Linked DNA regions of Pelodiscus sinensis. The protein of the gene in region 2 purifies or fractionates together with the protein of the main gene of each other region. This does not show direct contact. Links are inferred from orthologs where the notes say so. Each region holds a gene or a part of one and is shown on either strand. Other genes may lie near its edges.

Evidence for each region.
Region 1: the proteins of SMARCC2 (region 2) and BCL7C purify together in Homo sapiens (affinity purification with mass spectrometry; 4 studies listed by BioGRID and IntAct, counting the BioPlex papers as one, with this or other methods). This does not show direct contact. The link is inferred for Pelodiscus sinensis from reciprocal best matches to the Homo sapiens genes SMARCC2 and BCL7C.
Region 3: the proteins of SMARCC2 (region 2) and SS18 purify together in Homo sapiens (affinity purification with mass spectrometry; 3 studies listed by BioGRID and IntAct, counting the BioPlex papers as one, with this or other methods). This does not show direct contact. The link is inferred for Pelodiscus sinensis from reciprocal best matches to the Homo sapiens genes SMARCC2 and SS18.

The regions. Positions count from the first base shown.
Region 1 is NC_134714.1:134,097,740-134,104,678, forward strand, and holds the start of BCL7C (B-cell CLL/lymphoma 7 protein family member C), read left to right. Parts: upstream 1-3,853; 5' UTR 3,854-4,110; coding exon 4,111-4,202; intron 4,203-6,939. UniProt on the Homo sapiens protein: May play an anti-apoptotic role.
Region 2 is NC_134729.1:4,054,812-4,061,927, reverse strand, and holds the start of SMARCC2 (SWI/SNF complex subunit SMARCC2), read right to left. Parts: upstream 3,057-7,116; 5' UTR 2,993-3,056; coding exon 2,882-2,992; intron 1-2,881. UniProt on the Homo sapiens protein: Involved in transcriptional activation and repression of select genes by chromatin remodeling (alteration of DNA-nucleosome topology).
Region 3 is NC_134712.1:76,224,651-76,231,563, reverse strand, and holds the start of SS18 (protein SSXT), read right to left. Parts: upstream 3,063-6,913; 5' UTR 2,863-3,062; coding exon 2,794-2,862; intron 1-2,793. UniProt on the Homo sapiens protein: Appears to function synergistically with RBM14 as a transcriptional coactivator. Isoform 1 and isoform 2 function in nuclear receptor coactivation. Isoform 1 and isoform 2 function in general transcriptional coactivation.

The DNA.
Region 1 (6,939 bases), on a different chromosome or scaffold from region 2:
TGGTGGGGCCTAGTGGTTAGAGTGGGGGAGGCTGGGAGCCAGGAGTGCAGCGCTCCAGCCCAGCTTTGGGAGGGAAGCGGGGTGCAGTGGTTAGAGGGGTGGCTGGGAGCAGGGGTAACACCTCGGACCCTCCCTATGTGACCCAGCTCTGCGGAAATCCACAGACCCCCCCACCCGTCAGCAGGGGGCTTCTGGGCTTTCCTAAGCCTCTCTACGTGCAAAGACAGGAGGCAGCGAGGTACAGGGTCCACCGAGCTGCAGGTACACACCCCCAGCTGCGCCCCCAGCCCTGCCGGTGCCCCTCATTCCCGCCTCCCAGCCCTGCCGGCGCCCCTCACTCCCGCCCCCCAGCCCTGCCCCCAGCCCTGCCGGTGCCCCTCACTCCCACCCCCCAGCCCAGCCGGTGCCCCTCACTCCCACCCCACAGCCCCCACAAGCCCAGCCCTGCCCCTCACTCCCGCCCCCCAGCCCTGCCGGCGCTCCTCACTCCCGCCCCACAGCCCCCACAAGCCCAGCCCTGCCCCTCACTCCCACCCCCCAGCCCCCGCCAGCCCAGTCCTGCCCCTCACTCCCACCCCCCAGCCCCCGCCAGCCCAGTCCTGCCCCTCACTTCCACCCCCCAGCCCCCGCCAGCCCAGTCCTGCCCCTCACTCCCACCCCCCAGCCCCTGCCAGCCCAGTCCTGCCCCTCACTCCCACCCCCCAACCCCCGCCAGCCCAGCCCTGCCCCTCACTCCCGCCCCCCAGCCCCCGCCAGCCCAGTCCTGCCCCTCACTCCCGCCCCCCAGCCCCCGCCAGCCCAGTCCTGCCCCTCACTCTCGCCCCCCAGCCCCCGCCAGCCCAGTCCTGCCCCTCACTCCCGCCCCCCAGCCCCCGCCAGCCCTGCCCTGCCACTCACTCCTGCCCTCCAGCCCCCGCCAGCCCTGCCAGTGCCCCTCACTCCTGCCCCCCAGCCCCCACCAGCCCAGTCCTGTCCCTCACTCCCGGCCCCCCAGCCCTGCCCCTCACTCCTGCCCCCAGCCCAGTCCTGCCCCTCACTCCCACCCCGCAGCCCCTGCCAGCCCAGCCCCCCCCTCGTTTCCCTCACTCCAGACCTATAGCCCCCCCCCCCGCAGCAGGTTCCTGCCCGTGGGCGGCTGAGGTAATGGTGACCCCCCCAGCCTGCTCCAGGGTGAGTCACCCCAGCACAATGAGCTCAGTGTCTAACCCCAGGCCCCTCCATTGTAATCCCTGCTGAGCTACTGCCAGGATTAAAGGGGGGGGAAGGGGTAGGAGCCGGGACTCCTGGGTTCTGGGTCTAGGAATTGCAGCAAGGTGGGGAGGCCGGATATCCGGGCTCTCCCCTGACTGGGGGGGTCCTGTGGTGGGGGACAGGACACCAGGGCTCTCTCCTGACTGGGCAGGGATCTAGTGGGGGGGCGGGGAGGCAGTACACCTGGGTTCTTCTCTGGCTGGGGGCAGGATCTAGTGGGTGGGGGGTGGGAGGCGGGACACCTGGGTTCCTTGCTGGCGGGGGGGGGGATATAGTGGGGGGGAGGCCAGACACCCGGGTTCCTCGCTGGTGGGGGGGAAATAGTGGGGGGGAGGCCGAACAACCAGGTTCCTCGCTGGTGGGGGGGGATATAGTGGGGGGGGGGAAGGCTGGACACCCGGGTTCCTCGCTGGTGGGGGGGGATATAGTGGGGGGGGGGAAGGCTGGACACCCGGGTTCCTCGCTGGTGGGGGGGGATATAGTGGGGGGGGGGAAGGCTGGACACCCGGGTTCCTCGCTGGCGGGGGAGGGATATAGTGGGGGGGAGGGATATAGTGGGGGGGGAGGCTGGACACCCGGGTTCCTCGCTGGCGGGGGAGGGATATAGTGGGGGGGGGGGGAGTCGGACACCCGGGTTCTTCGCTGGTGTAGGGGATATGGGGGGGGCAGACATCCTCTTCCTCGCTGGCGGGGGGATATAGTGGGGGGGAGGCCAGACACCCGGGTTCCTCGCTGGCGGGGGGATATAGTGGGGGGGAGGCCAGACACCCGGGTTCCTCGCTGGCGGGGGAGGGATATAGTGGGGGGGGAGGGATATAGTGGGGGGGGGAGGCTGGACACCCGGGTTCCTCGCTGGCGGGGGGGGAGGGATATAGTGGGGGGGGGAGGCTGGACACCCGGGTTCCTCGCTGGCGGGGGAGGGATATAGTGGGGGGGGGGGGAGTCGGACACCCGGGTTCTTCGCTGGTGTAGGGGATATGGGGGGGGCAGACATCCTCTTCCTCGCTGGCGGGGGGATATAGTGGGGGGGAGGCCAGACACCCGGGTTCCTCGCTGGCGGGGGGGGATATAGTGGGGGGGGTGTCGGTCACCCGGGTTCCTCGCTGGCGGGGGGGGGGGAAATATAGTGGGGGGGGGTGTCGGTCACCCGGGTTCCTCGCTGGCGGGGGGGGGATATAGTGGGGGGGGTGTCGGTCACCCGGGTTCCTCGCTGGCGGGGGGGGGATATAGTGGGGGGGGGTGTCGGTCACCCGGGTTCCTCGCTGGCGGGGGGGGTGTCGGTCACCCGGGTTCCTCGCTGGCGGGGGGGGATATAGTGGGGGGAGGCCGAACACCCGGGTTCCTCGCTGGCGGGGGGGGGGATATAGTGGGGGGAGGCCGAACACCCGGGTTCCTCGCTGGCGGGGGGGGGGATATAGTGGGGGGAGGCCGAACACCCGGGTTCCTCGCTGGCGGGGGGGGATATAGTGGGGGGAGGCCGAACACCCGGGTTCCTCGCTGGCGGGGAGGGGGATATAGTGGGGGGAGGCCGAACACCCGGGTTCCTCGCTGGCGGGGGGGGGGGGATATAGTGGGGGGAGGCCGAACACCCGGGTTCCTCGCTGGCGGGGGCGGATATAGTGGGGGGGGCCGAACACCCGGGTTCCTCGCTGGCGGGGGGGGGATATAGTGGGGGGGAGGCCGAACACCCGGGTTCCTCGCTGGCGGGGGGGGGGGATATAGTGGGGGGAGGCCGAACACCCGGGTTCCTCGCTGGCGGGAGGGATATAGTGGGGGGGGGGCCGAACACCCGGGTTCCTCGCTGGCGGGGGGGATATAGTGGGGGGAGGCCGAACACCCGGGTTCCTCGCTGGCGGGGGCGGATATAGTGGGGGGGGCCGAACACCCGGGTTCCTCGCTGGCGGGAGGGATATAGTGGGGGGGGGGCCGAACACCCGGGTTCCTCGCTGGCGGGGGGGATATAGTGGGGGGGAGGCCGAACACCCGGGTTCCTCGCTGGCGGGAGGGATATAGTGGGGGGGGGGGCCGAACACCCGGGTTCCTCGCTGGCGGGGGGGATATAGTGGGGGGGAGGCCGAACACCCGGGTTCCTCGCTGGCGGGGGGGGATATAGTGGGGGGGAGGCCGAACACCCGGGTTCCTCGCTGGCGGGGGGGATATAGTGGGGGGGAGGCCGAACACCCGGGTTCCTCGCTGGCGGGGGGGATATAGTGGGGGGGAGGCCGAACACCCGGGTTCCTCGCTGGCGGGGGGGATATAGTGGGGGGGGCCGAACACCCGGGTTCCTCGCTGGCGGGGGGGATATAGTGGGGGGAGGCCGAACACCCGGGTTCCTCGCTGGCGGGGGGGATATAGTGGGGGGGGCCGAACACCCGGGTTCCTCGCTGGCGGGGGGGATATAGTGGGGGGGGCCGAACACCCGGGTTCCTCGCTGGCGGGGGGGATATAGTGGGGGGAGGCCGAACACCCGGGTTCCTCGCTGCCGGGGGCGGATATAGTGGGGGGGGCCGAACACCCGGGTTCCTCGCTGGCGGGGGGGGGGGATATAGTGGGGGGGAGGCCGAACACCCGGGTTCCTCGCTGGCGGGGGGGAATATAGTGGGGGGGTCGGGGTTGTGGGGGGGCAGGGGGTGCGGGACCCAGCCCGGCTCGCGGGGGTGCGCGTGTCTCTTGCGGAGAAGCCGGAGTCCCGCCCCCCAGGCCCGCCCGGCCCCGGCTCTGCCCGCGGAAGCCCGAGTTCGCTTCCGCTCCGCCTCCCGCAGCGAGCTCGGTCGGCGCGGGGCGGTTCTGCGCGGAGCCAGGGCCAGCGAGCCGGACCCGCGCGCAGTGACCCGCCCGGCGCCCCGGGGTCCCGTCCCCATGGCCGGGCGCACCGTGCGGGCCGAGACCCGCAGCCGGGCCAAGGATGACATCAAGAAGGTGATGGCAGCCATCGAGAGAGTGCGCCGATGGTGAGCGGCAGGGTGTGCGGGAGACGGGCGGCCTTGTGTGCGGCTGTTCCCCCGGGTGCCCTGCCCCAGAGCTGGCTGCATCTCAGAGCCGGGTGAGCTAGCCCCATGCGGCGTTATGTGCGGCCGTTCCCCTGGGTGTCCTGCCCCAGAGCTGGCTGCATCTCAGGGCCGGGTGAGTCAGCCCCCACGGCGTTATGTGCGGCTGTTCCCCCGGGTGTCCTGCCCCAGAGCTGGCTGCATCTCAGAGCCGGGTGAGTCAGCCCCCGCGGCGTTATGTGCGGCCGTTCCCCTGGGTGTCCTGCCCCAGAGCTGGCTGCATCTCAGAGCCGGGTGAGCTAGCCCCACACGGCGTTATGTGCGGCTGTTCCCCCGGGTGTCCTGCCCCAGAGCTGGCTGCATCTCAGAGCCGGGTGAGCTAGCCCCACGCGGCGTTATGTGCGGCCGTTCCCTCGGGTGCCCTGCCCCAGAGCTGGCTGCATCTCAGGGCCGGGTGAGCTAGCCCCACACGGCGTTATGTGCGGCTGTTCCCCCGGATGCCCTGCCCCAGAGCTGGCTGCATCTCAGGGCCGGGTGAGCTAGCCCCACGCGGCGTTATGTGCGGCCGTTCCCCCGGGTGTCCTGCCCCAGAGCTGGCTGCATCTCAGAGCCGGGTGAGTCAGCCCCCGCGGCGTTATGTGCGGCTGTTCCCCCGGGTGCCCTGCCCCAGAGCTGGCTGCATCTCAGGGCCGGGTGAGTCAGCCCCCGCAGCGTTATGTGCGGCCGTTCCCCCGGGTGCCCTGCCCCAGAGCTGGCTGCATCTCAGGGCCGGGTGAGCTAGCCCCACGCGGCGTTATGTGCGGCCGTTCCCCCGGGTGTCCTGCCCCAGAGCTGGCTGCATCTCAGAGTCGGGTGAGTCAGCCCCCGCGGCGTTATGTGCGGCTGTTCCCCCGGGTGCCCTGCCCCAGAGCTGGCTGCATCTCAGGGCCGGGTGAGTCAGCCCCCACGGCGTTATGTGCGGCCGTTCCCCCGGGTGCCCTGCCCCAGAGCTGGCTGCATCTCAGGGCCGGGTGAGCTAGCCCCACGCGGCGTTATGTGCGGCCGTTCCCCCGGGTGTCCTGCCCCAGAGCTGGCTGCATCTCAGAGCCGGGTGAGTCAGCCCCCGCAGCGTTATGTGCGGCTGTTCCCCCGGGTGCCCTGCCCCAGAGCTGGCTGCATCTCAGGGCCGGGTGAGTCAGCCCCCACGGCGTTATGTGCGGCTGTTCCCCCGGGTGCCCTGCCCCAGAGCTGGCTGCATCTCAGGGCCGGGTGAGTCAGCCCCCGCGGGGTTATGTGCGGCTGTTCCCCCGGATGCCCTGCCCCAGAGCTGGCTGCATCTCAGAGCCGGGTGAGCTAGCCCCATGCGGCGTTATGTGCGGCTGTTCCCCCGGGTGTCCTGCCCCAGAGCTGGCTGCATCTCAGAGCCGGGTGAGCTAGCCCCACGCGGCGTTATGTGCGGCCGTTCCCTCGGGTGTCCTGTCCCAGAGCTGGCTGCATCTCAGGGCCAGGTGAGCTAGCCCCACGCGGCATTATGTGCAGCCGTTCCCCCGGGTGTCCTGTCCCAGAGCTGGCTGCATCTCAGGGCCGGGTGAGCTAGCCCCACACGGCGTTATGTGCGGCCGTTCCCCCGGGTGTCCTGCCCCAGAGCTGGCTGCATCTCAGAGCTGGGTGAGCTAGCCCCACACGGCGTTATGTGCGGCCGTTCCCCTGGGTGTCCTGCCCCAGAGCTGGCTGCATCTCAGGGCCGGGTGAGCTAGCCCCACGCGGCGTTATGTGCGGCCGTTCCCCCGGGTGTCCTGCCCCAGAGCTGGCTGCATCTCAGAGCCGGGTGAGCTAGCCCCATGCGGCGTTATGTGCGGCCGTTCCCCCGGGTGCCCTGCCCCAGAGCTGGCTGCATCTCAGAGCCGGGCGAGTCACCTCCACGCGGCCTTGTGTGTGGCTGTTCCCTCGGGTGCCCTGCCCCAGAGCTGGCTGCATCTCAGAGCCGGGCGAGTCAGCCCCACGCAGCGTTATGTGCGGCTGTTCCCCCAGGTACCCTGCCCCAGAGCTGGCTGCATCTCAGGGCTGGGTGAGCTAGCCCCACGTGGCGTTATGTGCGGCTGTTCCCCCAGGTACCCTGCCCCAGAGCTGGCTGCATCTCAGAGCCGGGTGAGTCAGCCCCACGCAGCGTTATGTGCGGCCGTTCCCCCAGCTGCCCTGCCCCAGAGCTGGCTTCATCTCAGTGCCAGGCGAGTCAGCCCCAGGTGGTGTTATGTGCGGCTGTTCCCCCAAGTGCCCCACCCCAGAACCAGATGCATCTCAGCGCTGGGCCAGCCAGCCCCATGCAGTCTCGCTGGGTGGCTTTCCCCATTTATCCTACCCCAGAGGTGGTGCCATCTTCTTTAAAGTAACTCCTGTGGCCAAATGCAGGAGCAGGCTCTTAATTATGGCAATTAGTTATTCGTCCATTATTTAATTATTGTGTGTATTGTTCACCTCCCTTTCTCTATGGAAATTGCTTCTGAGATGTGACTAGCTGTCAAGTTCTTTACTCTGGATAATATGTCAGACAGTCATCTGCTGGACAAGAGAAGATAACAACTTACTATTGCTGCTCTTTAAGGGAGTCTGTATTTTAACTTGGGGAGGATGCGATTGGAGGGTTTCCGCCCTCATGACAGACAAAAGATAACCTGCCACGGCTGCTAGCTCATGGCCTCAGCCCTTTAGCGCTGCCTGGGGG
Region 2 (7,116 bases):
CAACCCTAGAAAGAAGAGGCCTATGAAATCTCAGGGCCCCTCTGGCAGAGCCCCAGCTGAAGCTAGATGGCCCAGCAGGTGGGGAGAGGCTGAGGGGATCGCTGGCTGGGATGTTCTGTCCCCAAGGGTGCCTTTTGTCAGACTGAGTGCAGCTCTTTTTAAACAGAGGCAGCATTGGGGGCCTGGCCCTGGGGTCTGTCTGGGAACCAAGACTCCCAGGAAATAAACAAGCAGATCATATCGGCCATTCCATACAAAGGCCTTTCCCTGAGGACCATGAATTGCAAGGGGCAGGAATTTGGCTGACCACGGTCCCGCCTCTGCCCCAAGGAATGGCTTCTTCATCTTTCCCTGGGCCGCTTTCTCCTTCCACACTTTGTCTTGCCTGTGATGACTGAGAGAAGGACGGTCTCTCGCCATGTGTCTGTCCAGCACCCAGCCCAAGGGTGCCCTGATGGCGTTTGGTTCCCCCCCTCCAGCATCACTGGAATAATCCAGAGCAATAAACTGCGCTTGTTTCAAACTCTGAGGCAACCCAAAGCAAATGCCCCATGTAGCTATCTGTAGATGACAGAACAAGGGGCAATGGTCTCAGGTTGCCGTGGGGGAGGTAGAGGTTGGTTATTAGGAAAAGCTAATTCCCTAGTAGGGTGGGAAGCGCTGGGATGGGTTGCCTAGGGAGGTGACGGCATCTCTATCCTTAGAAGTTTTAAGCCCCGGCTTGCCAAAAGCCCTGGCTAGGGCAATGTAGTTGCGGTTGGTCCTGCTTTGAGGACGACTGCCTGAGGTCTCATCCAACTCTAGGATTCTGCTGGAGGTGACGCGTATTTCACCCAATTGGTATGGGTGTGGGCACAGAGATGATAGTCAGCAGGCAGCCTGGCACATGGGGGCAGAGCCTTTAGCTGAAGATAGTTAGGGGGAGGGGAGTGAAGGACGTAGGAACGGCCGCACTGGGGCAGACCAATGGCCTCTCCAGCCCAGCCGCCTGTCTTTCACAGTGGCGGTCGCCAGGGCTTCAGAGGGAATGAACAGAAGAGGGCAATTAGCTAGCGAGCCATCCCCTGTCCGCCAGTCCCAGCTTCCGGCAGTGGTTCAACCCTGCGAGGGTGTGAAAAGGCCAATTCCCAGTGAGCAGGGATGGCCAGGTCAGCCTGTCACTCCAGAGCCAGGAGCTGTCTGGTGACTCAGCTTCTCGCTGCCTGTGGAAGGTCAAAGGCAACAGCCTGGGAACCACAGACCCATGCTGCTTGCATGACAGCACAAGGGGGAGGCGAGGGGGTTGGAAGAGCCAGGTGGGGCCCGCAGGACCCCGCCCACACGCCCTATGCTGAGACAGCGCAGCAGGTGGCTGGATGATCGTAACCCTAAAGCTACCCTTGCAAAGAAAAGACTCCTCGCAGCCCAGATCTGGTGACGGTTTCACGGGAGTGAGGGATCCCAAGCCCTAGTATAGGGGCTTGGCTCGGTCACTTTTCCCCGCACACAGGCTGGCCTTTGTCTCGGCACAGGCAGGCAAAAGGACTTGGGTGAAAGATGGACAAGGATCCGAGGGGAGACCGACGTTATCAGCTGCGGGGCTGGGCCCCCCCGAGAGGGGATAGGAAATGGAGCAGTTCCTAGTGGGAGCCTGGCTCGCATCTCCGCACACCAGGAAGGGACACGGCTCCCAGCCACGGTGGGTGAGATGGGGGACCCAAGAGAGTGTTAAGGGGGCACCTTCCCCAGGACAGATGTGGTTAGGTGGGGAACAACCCCCCTCCCCCTTCCTGTACAAATCAGATCAGCCCCATGCACTGTAAGGCCTCTGCGGAGCTGGGGGGAGTAGAGGGGGAATTCAATGAGGTGCTGAGACAGGGGTAGGTGATTGGAAGGGAATTAAGGCGCTGGAAGGCGGAACAGGAGGGTCGCTGGGGGTGAACGAGGGGTTCAGGCAAGGAGGGGAAAGAGGCTGTAATGGAGGAGCAGGGAAGGGACTGCATAGGGGAACGGGGGCCCTGAGGAGATGGGAAGGGGCTGAGGGAATTCAGTGGAGGCGGGGGTTGTGAGCTGCCAGTGAGGCTGGGGATCAGCAGGGAGGATGGGGCACGGGGGATGTGGGTCAGTATGGAGCACAGGTGCCAGTGGGGCACAGAGGATGGGGGTCAATGGAGAGGGCAGGCACCAGTGGGGCATAGAGAACTGAAGTCAGTGGTTAGGACAGGCACCAGTGGAACATGAGGGGGGAGTGTCAGTGGGGAGGACAGACACTGGTGGGGCACGGGGGAGGGGGTCAGGGGGGAGGACAGACACTGGTGGGGCACGGGGGAGGGGGTCAGGGGGGAGGACAGACACTGGTGGGGCACGGGGGAGGGGGTCAGGGGGGAGGACAGACACTGGTGGGGCACGGGGGAGGGGGTCAGTGGGGAGGACAGACACTGGTGGGGCACGGGGGAGGGGGTCAGGGGGGAGGACAGACACTGGTGGGGCACGGGGGAGGGGGTCAGGGGGGAGGACAGACACTGGTGGGGCACGGGGGAGGGGGTCAGGGGGGAGGACAGACACTGGTGGGGCACGGGGGAGGGGGTCAGGGGGGAGGACAGACACTGGTGGGGCACGGGGGAGGGGGTCGGTGGGGAGGACAGGCACGGGGGGGGGGACAGACACTGGGGGGGGCAGACACTGGGGGAAACGGGGGTCGGTGGGGAGGACAGGCGCACGGAGGGGCACGGGGGGGCACGGGGGCGGGTGAGATGTGGGTGACCCAGGGGGCTCGAGGCGGGCTGACGCCTGTCAGTGGGGTGCGGCGATTGGGGGGGCAGAAGGGGCGGGGGGAGGGGCCCGAGGAGCGGGGGCCCGTGGGGGGCGAGGCGCAGGGCGGGGGGGCCGGCCGGGCCGGTACCTTCTTGTAGTTCTTGCCCAGCCAGAGCCGCGCGCTGTCGAACTGCCCCACCGTGTCCGCGGCCTCGTAGTACTTGACGTTGGGGCCGCCGTCCTTCTTCCGCACCGCCATCTTCCCGCCGCGCAGCGCCCCCTGCCGGCCGCCCGCCGCCCCGCGCCGCCATCTTCCCGCCGCGCAGCGCCCCCTGCCGGCCGCCCGCCGCCCCGCGCCGCCATCTTCCCGCCGCGCAGCGCCCCCTGCCGGCCGCCGGCCGCCCCGCGCCGCCATCTTCCCGCCGCGCAGCGCCCCCTGCCGGCCGCCCGCCGCCCCGCGCCGCCATCTTCCCGCCGCGCGGCGCCCCCTGCCGGCCGCCGGCCGCCCCGCGCCGCCATCTTCCCGCCGCGCGGCGCCCCCTGCCGGCCGCCCGCCGCCATCTTCCCGCCGCGCGGCGCCCCCTGCCGGCCAGCCGCCGCCATCTTCCCGTCGCGCAGCGCCGGGGCGATGGGGGGGGCGGGTTGTGGGGCTATGGGGGGGATCTCTGGGGTGGGGGGGTGCATGGGGGGAGGCGGTGGGGGGGGCTATGAAAATTGCTCCCGGGCTGAGAGGAAGTCCGGGGGGGGAGGGGCTGTGGGGATCGCTGGGGTTGGGGGGGGGGGTTCCGTGGGGCGGGGGCTGGAGGTTTCGAGGGGAGAAGAGGGGGCTGGGGGTCCCGTGGGGAGGGGCTGGGGTGCCATGGCGGAGGGGGCGGCTGTGGGGCTATATGGGTATCGCTGGGACTGGGGGGTCCCGTGGGGAGGGGGCAGAGGAAGCTGTGGGGATGCCGGGGGGGAGGGGGCTGTGGGGCACAGGGGGCTATGGGGATGGCAGAATGGGGGGACAGAGGAGGCTATAGAGGTTCGGGGAGGGGGCTGTGGGGTGGGGGCTGTGGGGCATAGGGAGATGGGGGGGTCTCAGGATGGGAGCAGCGGGGAGCTCTGGGGATAGGCGGGGAGAGGCCGTGGGGCGCACTGGGAAAGCCGTGGCCAGGAGGGGCGGGCCCGGCCCTGTGGTGGAGGGGAGCAGGGGGTCACGATGGGGTTGGGGGGCACTCGGGGGTCTGCAGCACGCGTGGGGGGAGGAAGATTCTGTTGCTCCCCCCCCCGCCCCTCTCCTATGTGGATCTTCTAGCCGGAGCTCGGCGAAGCCCTGGCCGGGTGTCACGGTGGCCGAGTGGTTAAGGCGTTGGACTCGAAATCCAATGGGGTTTCCCCGCACAGGTTCGAATCCTGTTCGTGACGGCGACTCGTTTTTGTGGGGAAGGCCCAGGCGTTAAACCCACCTTTTAAAAAAACACTTGGGGAGAGGGCGGGCGCTTTAGGCACAGGCAGGGCTGTGGGGGTGAGTATGTTGTGTTTGCATTTGCCGGCAGACAGGAGGGGGCAGTGCTGCGGGGAGGGGGGCGCACATCTGACCTGGGGGGTGTAGAATACAGGTGGCAATCCCTGAACTGGGGGATTCCAGAGCTGGTGGCCCTCTGCTACAGAGGGCTATGCTGGGGGCATGCAGAGCTGCTTGGGGTGCACCTAGGCTGCTTAGGGGGTGCAGAGCTGGCTGGGGGGTGCAGAGCTGCCTGGGGTGCATCTAAGCTGGGTGAAGGGTGCAGAGCTAGCTGGGGTGTATTTAGGCTGCGTGGGGGGGTGCAAAGGCATTTGGGGTACATCTGGGCTGGGTATGGGATGCAGAGCTAGTAGGGGGCACATGTGGGTTGTGGGAGGGGGGGCTGCAGAGCTGGTAGGAAGGACACAGCTGGATGGGGGGATGCCAGAGGAGGGCAGGGATTCATCTGTATGTGTGTGTGGGGTATGTGATCTGCTATTGCAAAACTCGTGGGGGGCACAGCAGTACTATCTGTGGGGCAGGGGACACAGCTGGCTGGAGGAATGGGGGAGGGGCGTTAGCAGAACTTGCTAGCACAACTTGATTTGCTCTGGGTGTAGCAGCTGGGGGATACCTGACTTGCCAGGGAGTTGGCTAGAAAGGTGGATTTGCTTTGCAGGTCAGTGGGTAGAAAAGCAGCAGGGGGCAGGGGAGACTGGCAGAGTATGGGGCTCTCCAGGGAAGCAAGCCCCTCTTTGCCGGGGACCACCCCAGGGCGCTTTGGGATGAGGCAGAGCATAGAGGCCAGGTCCTAGCAAGACCCCCACCCCTCTTGCAACAGGATCAAGGGTTGGCCCTTTGTTCCCATTGCTTCGGGCAAGCCCCATTCTGGCCTCCCAGGCAGAGAGCAGAGCATGCAGCCACCCTGCAGCAGGGTCAGGAATGTGAACCCCGATCTCCCGTGGCCTTGCCCTGGCGTCTAGCTCAGACGCCCGGCCAGCCTCTGAGAGCTTGGGGGAGCGGGTGTGGGGCCTGAACTGGCCGGGCAGGGGGGAGCTCCCCGAATACCTGCAAAGCTGCCACCTTCTAGTCCCACTTTAAAACCCACCTGTGCTAGGAAACCTGCTGGGCCGGGTCTTTGCTGAGCACTGTGGGCCCAAGGGTTCTCCTGCTGCCCCGATAGGCTGCCTGTGTCCAGCTAAGGGCTCATGTCTTAGGCTTAGATCGTTCCCCTTTGTTTGTACAGTACCTAGCACTGTAGGGTCCAGGCCCATGACTGGACCTATCGGTGCAGCAGTAATGCCTGGCACAGGTTTAGCCTTCCTGTCACAGTGGCCGACGTAGCCCTCAAATCCAAGCTTCGTTTTAAACCCAGGTGTAGTTCCATTCCCCACAGCCCCCCACGACCAGGATCACGTTTCACTTCCAGAGGAAGGTGCCAAAAATCCCCCTGGGGCAGATGGGGGGGGGTAACGCTTGTCTCCGCTGAACCCCTAACTCAGCTTGCCTGAAATCCTGCAGCATGGCATAGGCAAAGCTCCCCCGCCCCAGGAGACCCTGCGTGCCACGGGCCTTTTGTCTACAGGCCAGATATTGTGCCTGCCCCAGGAGCAGGGGGGCTCTTTTGTCGCAGGAGCTCCCTTGTCCAAGCTTGGCCAAAGACTCTCAGCAGCTGGCTGCTTTATAGCCAGTTTCCCACATTCTCGGGCCTGTAGCTGGGGGCAGCTTTTCAGCCTGGCCCCCAGGACCTGGGCTCACGGGACAGTCTGGCCCTTCACAGCTCCATGAATCCGCTTACCCGTCGGTAATGTCCTGCCAGCGGCAGGGTGAGCTTATCAGGCCCAGTAGCACATGCAGGGCGCCTGGCACAATGGGCGCTGAGTGCGGGTGAGATCCCAAGCCCTCTGAGAAAGGCCGAAATAGAAGGGGGAGCTTTTCCCAGCTGCTTTCTGCAGGACAAGAAGCCCCGGAGGCCTAGCCTGGGCAGCTGCGGGGTGTTTAAACCCCATCCCGGGCTGCGGAGATGGAATTGCTGATTGGGAGCCAGCTGAGTTCTCGGGCCTGGCGTGGGGCAGGGCAAGTGGTGCCGTGTCATTCACAGGTGCCCAGGGACCCAAGGTCAGCTCCCAGACAAATGCACTAGGCAACGCAGTATGGAAAGGAGGTGGGCAGCCCTTGGTGGGGAAGGAACAAGTTAGGAACGATTTAGAAAAGCTAAACGTGCACACATCCATGGGCCCGGATTTAATGCACCCGAGGGTACTGAGGGAGTTGGCAAATGTAATTGCAGAGCCTTTGGCCATTAGCTTTGAAAACTCGTGGAGATCGGGAGAGATCCCGGATGACTGGAAAAAGGCAAATGTAGTGCCCATCTTTAAAAAAGGGAAGGACAATCCAGGGAACTACAGACCAGTCAGCCTCACCTTGGTCCCCGGAAAAATTATGGAGGGGATCCTCAAGGAATCCATTTTGAAGCACTTGGAAGAGGGGAAAGTGATCAGGAATAGTCAGCATGGATTCACGAAGGGCAAGTCGTATCTGACCAATCTGATTAGCCTCTATGATGAGGTAACTGGCTCTGTGGACATGGTAAAGTCAGTGGATGTGATATATCTTGACTTTAGCAAAGCTCCTGATATAGTCTCCCACAATATTCTTGCCAGCAAATTAAGGGAGAATGGATTGAATAAAAGGACTGTAAGATGGATAGAAAGCTGGCTAGACTGTCTGGCCCAATGGGTGGTGATAAACGACTCGGGGTTAGGTTGGCGGTCGGTTGCTAGCAAAGTACCCCAAGGATCTGTTCTTGGACCAGTTTTGTTCAACATCTTCATTAATGACCTGGAGGAGGGGATGGATGGCACCCTCAGCAAGTTCGCAGATGACACTAAGCGAGGGAG
Region 3 (6,913 bases), on a different chromosome or scaffold from region 2:
AGATTTCACTGAGACCATTAAGGACTTAGTGATTATCAGCATTAGAAGTCTAAATATTAAGATGGGTGAACTAGGGTGCCTCGTATTAAAGGAGGATATTGATATAATAGGCATCACAAACTTGGTGGAATGAAAGTAATCAATGGGGGACAGTCATATCAGGGTACAAAATACATCAGAAGGACAGAACAGGTCATGCTCATGGCGGAGTGGCACTATACGTGAAAGAAAATGTAGAATCAAGTGAAGTAAAAATCTGAAATGAGCCAAAATATTCCATAGAATTTTTATGGGTAGTAATTCCATGCTCCAATAATAAGAATATAGCAGTAATGATATATTATTGACCACCTGATCAGGACAGTGATAGTGACTATGATATGCTAAGGGAGATTAGAGAGGCTATCAAAATAAAAAACTCAGTATAGTAGGGGATTTCACCTATCCCCATATTGACTGATTACACGGCACCTCAGGATGGGATGCAGAGATAAAATTTCTTGATCCCTTAAATGACTGCTTCTTGGAGCAGCTGGTTCTGGAATACACAAGGGGAAGAGACAAATCTTGATTTAGTCAAAAGTGGAGCACAGCATATGGTCCAAGAGGTATATATAACTGGACCACTTGGAAATAGTGACCATAATGTAATAAAATTTAACATCCCTGTGGTGGGCAAAATGCCTCAGCAGTCCAACACTATGGCATTTAATTTCATAAATGGGAACAAAAATGAGGAGGTTAGTTAAACAGAAATTGAACGGTACAGTGACAAAAGTAAAATCCCTGCAAGCTGAATGGAAACTTTTCAAAGACACCATAATAGAGTCCCAACTTAAATGTATACCCAAAATTTAAAACAGTAAAAGAAACAAAAAAAGTGCCACCATGACTTGACATAACCAAGAAGCAGTAAGAGATAAAAAGGCAATGTTTTAAAAAGTGGAAGTTAAATCCTAGTGAGGAAAATAGAAAGGAGCATAAACTCTGTCAAATTAAGTGTAAAAAATATAAGTAGTCAAAAAGGAGTTTGAAGAACAGCTAGTCAAAAAAAATCAAACAGTAATAGCAAAATGTTTAAGTACATCAGAAGCAAGAAGCTTGCTAAACAACCAGTGGGGCCTCTGGACAATGGAGATGCCAAAGAAGCACTCAAAGATAAGGTAATTGTGGAAAAACTAAATGAATTCTTTGCTTCGGTCTTAGATTCCCAAAACTTGAGTCATTCTTTTTAAGTGACAAATCTGAGTAATTGTCCCAGAGGAGGTTTTGGAACAAATCGATAAACTTAACAGTAACAAGTCACTGGGACCAGATGGCATTCACCCAAGAGTTCTTTCAGAACTCAAATGTGAAAGTACGTAACTATTAACTGTGGTTTGTAATTTATCTTTTAAATCGGCTTCTGTACCTAGTGACTGGAAGATAGCTAACGTGACACCAATATTTTAAAAGGGCTCTAGAAATGATCCTGGAAATTACAGACTGGTAAGTCTAATGTCAGTACCGGGCAAATTAGTTGAAACTAAAATTGTCAGACACATAAATGAACATAATTTGTTGAAGGAAAGACAACATGGTTTCTGTAAAGGGAAATCATGCCTTAACTAATCTACTAGAGTTCTCTGAGTGGTGTCAACAAGCATGTGGACAAGAGGGATGCAGTGGATATAGTATTCTTAGAGGGAAAGTACTTTCATGGACTGATAACTGGTTAAAAGGAAACTAAAGGTAGCAATAAATGGTAAATGTTGAGTGGAGAGAGGCAACTAGTGGGGTCCCCCAAGGGTCTGTCCAGGGACTAATTCTATCCAACTTATTTATAAATGCTCTAGAGAAAGGGGTAAACAGTGAGGTGATTTTCTTTAATCACAGAAGCACATACCAAGATATCAGCAGTGCCTATAATAGCACCTAGAGCAGGGGTGAGCAATAAAACAGTGTGGGTTATACCCTGACAGGCTTCCTCCGCTATATTTACCTGTGTCTCCAGAGGCACTGGCAATCACAGCTCCTGCTGGCTGAAGATTGCTGTTCCGGCCAATGGGAGATGTGGGAAGCAGTGTCCAGGCCACACCTTTACCCACCCTTCCCAGTGGCCAGGAAGAAGTGATTCACAGCCGATGGGAAAAGCGATCATCGGAGGCTAACTATGGCAGATCAAGTCTAGCCTGTGGGCCAGTATTTGCCCATCACAATCTTAAGGGGCACCCTAAGTCTCAAGGCTCTGCTCAAACCACCTCTCCTCCTTACTAGGCAAGATTTTTTTTTTTAAAGGGATCAATAAAACTAAATTGAGACGCTGTAGTTTTGTCTAACCTCACCAATAAGCACTGGACAAAGACCGAAGTGATAAAAGCCTGTTCATCCCAAAAGGTGAGATATGACAGTTAACCAATACACACCTCTGGGGTAGTTATTGGCCTGACCCGTTACCCCAATTAAGAGACACGGTGTGGAGCGGGCAGTGTGTGTGTGTGTGTGTGTGTATGGTGGGGGGGGGGGAGATGGTGTTTAAAATATTCTATTGAACCAACTTGGGTGGGTGAAAGAGAGACGCTTTGGAGGCGCCCAGGGCTCTTCTGCACACCTGGGGAAGATTCCCCCCCCCCCCCCCGCACTCCTGCCTCCCCAGGGGCCCCTCCGCAGCCCCCCCCCCGCACTCCTGCCTCCCCAGGGGGCCCTCCGCCCCTAGCGCCACAGCCCTGCCCCGGCGTGTTTCCAGCCCCCGCCAGTCGCCGCCCCCTGGCCGGGCCGGAAGCAGCCCCGTGTCGGGCCCGGCCCCTCCCTCACCTTCTGGATGGCGGCCGGCGTGATCTCGCCCTTGCCCCGCTGCCTCGGGGCCGCGAACGCCACCGACATGTCGGCTCCCTGCGCGCACGAGGGTCCAGCGCCCCGGCCGCGCGCCAAGCAGCGACGGGAGGAGGCTGCGATCAGGGAAGAACATTCACCGCCGCGAGAGGGAGGGGGCGTGACGGCTCGCAGGGCCAGCCCATCCCGATCGAGAAGAGGGGGTGCAAGCCTCGCTGCCACTGCCCTCCGCCTTCCGACCGCATGTGGCAACCCCAGCGACAACTGGGACCCTCCCGTTCCCCCTAGCGAGCAGCAGCTTCGTTGACAGGAAGCAGCCGCTTGCCTGCTTTAAGCGCGTCCTTTTCGTTGCGCATTCCGCCCCCCCTGCTAATATGGTACACTCCTACCCAGAGCTCTCAGCCTGAGACAGGCTGCAAGTGGTACGGCCGGGAGTTGGGGGAGCTGGAAGTGCTCACTTTACAGGAGAAAGTGGCTCGTTTCCCCTCCTCCCCCGCGCCCAGTCTTGGTTGCGCCTAGTCATTACGTTCCTGGGCTGAGCGACCCGGGGCGGGGCTTGTGCAAGTTGCAGTGAGGGCAGGAGACTTATTGGGAGCGCGTGCTGCTGCGTCCCGGCCCCGGGAACGTTCCATCCCCTCCGCTGGGGCAGGAGCCTGGCCCCTCTAAAGGGTCCGGGCGGGAGCTGCTGCAACTTGCGCAGGGACAGGTGGTTTTATTTGGGAACTGACTTGCTCAGGAGTCGTGCACTCACGTTGGTGTCGCTTCTGGGGCTGGAGGGGGAAAGTCTGCACTTGCAATGTTGTTGTCTATAGGTTCTTAACCTCCCTATTCCCCAGCGACTAAGGTGCCGGGGAGACTGCTGAAGGAGGGGGACGGGATAACATCTCTGAGCCTCTTCCCTTTCCTGCCCTGGACCCTGTCCCACCTCTCCCGCCCGCCCCAGTGATGTGGTTTGGGGGACTAGTAGGTGGTCGGGCACCGTTGCAGGGGTCCAGGCCTCTGCACTGACTAGCAGCTGGTGGTGGAGGTAGGGGAAGGGGAGTGACACAAACCTGCAATCCCAGCGCCAGCAGAGTCGCTCTGCTTCTGGTTGGTGTGGGGCAGGGGAGTGTCTCATCTCTCCCTTGAGTGGTGGTGTAGTAAAATATGCTTTGCATCTGAGCCGTAACAAGGCCGGAATTTAGGCCACTCAGAAAAAGATCCTACATTATGAATTCCAAATGGAAATGACCTTCTGGGGCAGAGTTTCTTAAATGACAAAAATTCACCATGAGAGAAAAATGAAAAGATGTTGAGAGAAATGGGGAAATGGCTAGTGGAAAATGCACTGAATACTGAAAATGCACCATTAGCTGAACCCTCGGATGACAATGATCATACAACTTCAGTACTGATTATTACCACAGACCAGCAACTGGAACTTGACATTACAGCTTCAGCATCAATCTCTGACTCTGAGATTGACCAAAAGCTCAATCTCAAGGTCTCAACTTTGTCACCAATTATGATTATTGACATTAACAATGACCAGGACTATCAACAAGATTCAACTGTAATATAAATAAATTTTAACAATCCACCATCTTGGCTCTCTATAAATGACAAAATAAGATGCCATCTTATTGAACAAGCACCTGGCGAGAGAGAAACCATGGATTTTCATGAATCAGTATCATCAGAGGGCCAAAAATTTTCAGGTGATTGGTTTTAAAAAGTGCTTTATAATGAAGAATTTTAGAGCGCAATTGGCTTATTTATTCTGAAACTAGTAAGGCCATTTTTTTGTTTTCCATGCATATTATTTGATCAGCGTTTTTCCAAACTGAATATTGCAAATCAGAAAACCAGCAGATTTAATGCTTTGAAAAATTTAAACCGTATTGTAGAGCATGAAAATTCAAGCATTCGTCATGAAAATTTCTGTAAATGGAAATCCATGCGAAAAAGATTGAGTAGAGAATATATTGATGATGCACTACAAAAAAGCTATTGAAGCTGATAAGCAAAAATGGAGACATATCGTGAAAATAATTCTAGATTTTTTGTGCCAAAAATAATCTTCCACTTAGAGGATTGAGTAGTGTTATAGGAAACCCTAATTCGGGAATATTTCTTAATCTAATGGAATTTATAAGTCATTATGATGTTGAACTAAAACAACATATTGTAACTCACAAAAAGGTTCGGTGAGCTCTTTTTCACTGGCTATCCAAAATGAGTTTACACCTGGTCCTGAGTTACAAACCAAACACGTGGCCGTAACTCGAAGTGTTCATAAGTCGGACCCATTAAGTTACATGCGACTGCGCTGTTCATAAGCGTGGGTTGCGTTCGTAACTCGGGAACCACCTTTACGACCGCTTAATGGGAGGTTTGGTCATAAGTGCTAACGGTCATAAATCGACCGTTCGTAACTCGGGGACCGGCTGTATTGGGTTAATAGCAAACCAAGTTCGAATTGAAATTATATCCAAAATTTTAAAAAAGCAAAATATTATTCTATGCTTCTGGATTATACACCAGATATACCTCATCGTGATCAAATATCTCAGATTGTGAGCTGTGAAAATTGATGATAGAATCATAACTATAGAAGAAAGTTTCATAGACTTTATTGAGACCAAGGAAAAAACAGGAAGTGGATTAGCCAAAGAAATAGTAAAGACGTTTGAAAAGAATGGAATTGATCTTCAAAACGCATGAGGCCAAGGGTACAATAATGGTGCAAATATGTCAGGCATGTACAAAGGCATCAAAGCTGTCATTCTGCAATAAATAAATTTGCAAATTGTGTACCGTGCTTGGCCCACAGTCTCAATTTCGTTGGAGTACATGCAGCTTCTGTAAATTCCTCTATGGTTTCATTCTTTGGCACTGTACAAAAATAAACACTTTTTATTTCTAATTCTACCACCCGCTGGAATATTTTAATGGGTTTATTAAAAGTATCACTAAAAGGTCATGCTGATACTAGATGGGCATCAAAAGCAAATTCAATTGCAGCTTTAAATTTGCAGATTTCAGAAGTTACTAAGGTCCTAAATGATGTTGCTGCTTCATCTAAATGTGCTGAAACAGTTTTAGCAGCTAATAACTTTCTTAAAAAATTAATTTTGAGTTTTTGTGCAGTTATCCATTTGGCATAATATTCTAACTCACATTGCCAGAATGAATAAAGCGTTACAAGCAAAAGGCATTTCTGTTTGTCAGGCTTCTAAGATGATCCATGGAAACAAGAGCTATGTGGAAGATATTTTTACTGATTGTAAAAAAACGGTCCAAAATATAGAAATATCAGCAGAATTTACAGAATGCAGAAAGTGAAAAGTTAAAAGACAACAGCTTTGAGTCACAAGATGAAAGTGTTAATTTATCAGCTGAAGAATCATTCAAAATACAAATAAAAGCATATTTAACTGCATAATATTTGAATTAAAACTGGAGATATGAAACGCTAAATGAGAGCTCTTCGGATTTCAATTTTTTTATCAGGAGATTCTTTTGTTAAAATGGATACTACTAATCTTCAAAAAGCAGCAGATTTAAGTTTTAAATATGGCAGCGATTTGAATGCCTCGGAAATTTTGTCAGAGATTCAGAGTTTTAAACATCAGGCATTAGCGCTGTTGCCAAACATTTCATCTGCAACTAGTTTGGACCTTCTACAGTTAATTTATGAATATAGTCTGGCCGAATCTTATCCAAATTTTGAAATCGCCCTGCAAATATTTCTCTGCTTGCCAGTGACTATGGCTTCTTCTGAAAGAAGTTTTAGTAAACTAAAATTAATTAAGAACTACCTTCAAGCATCCACAGGTCAGGAGAGATTATCAAATATGTCCCATTTTATCAATAGAACACGAGGTAGCGAATAATATTAATTACAACACAATTATTGATGGGTTTGCCTCATAAAAAGTGTGCAAAGTACAATTAAAAACGATTACCTAATAGTACATGACATGGTGATATTTTATAATTATATATATATATATATGTATTAATTGATTGGTTATGCAGATCTCAACTATAATAAATAAACATTGTATTATTATTATTTTATTATTATTGTTTATTTTCCCTTTTTCTACGAAATAACTAC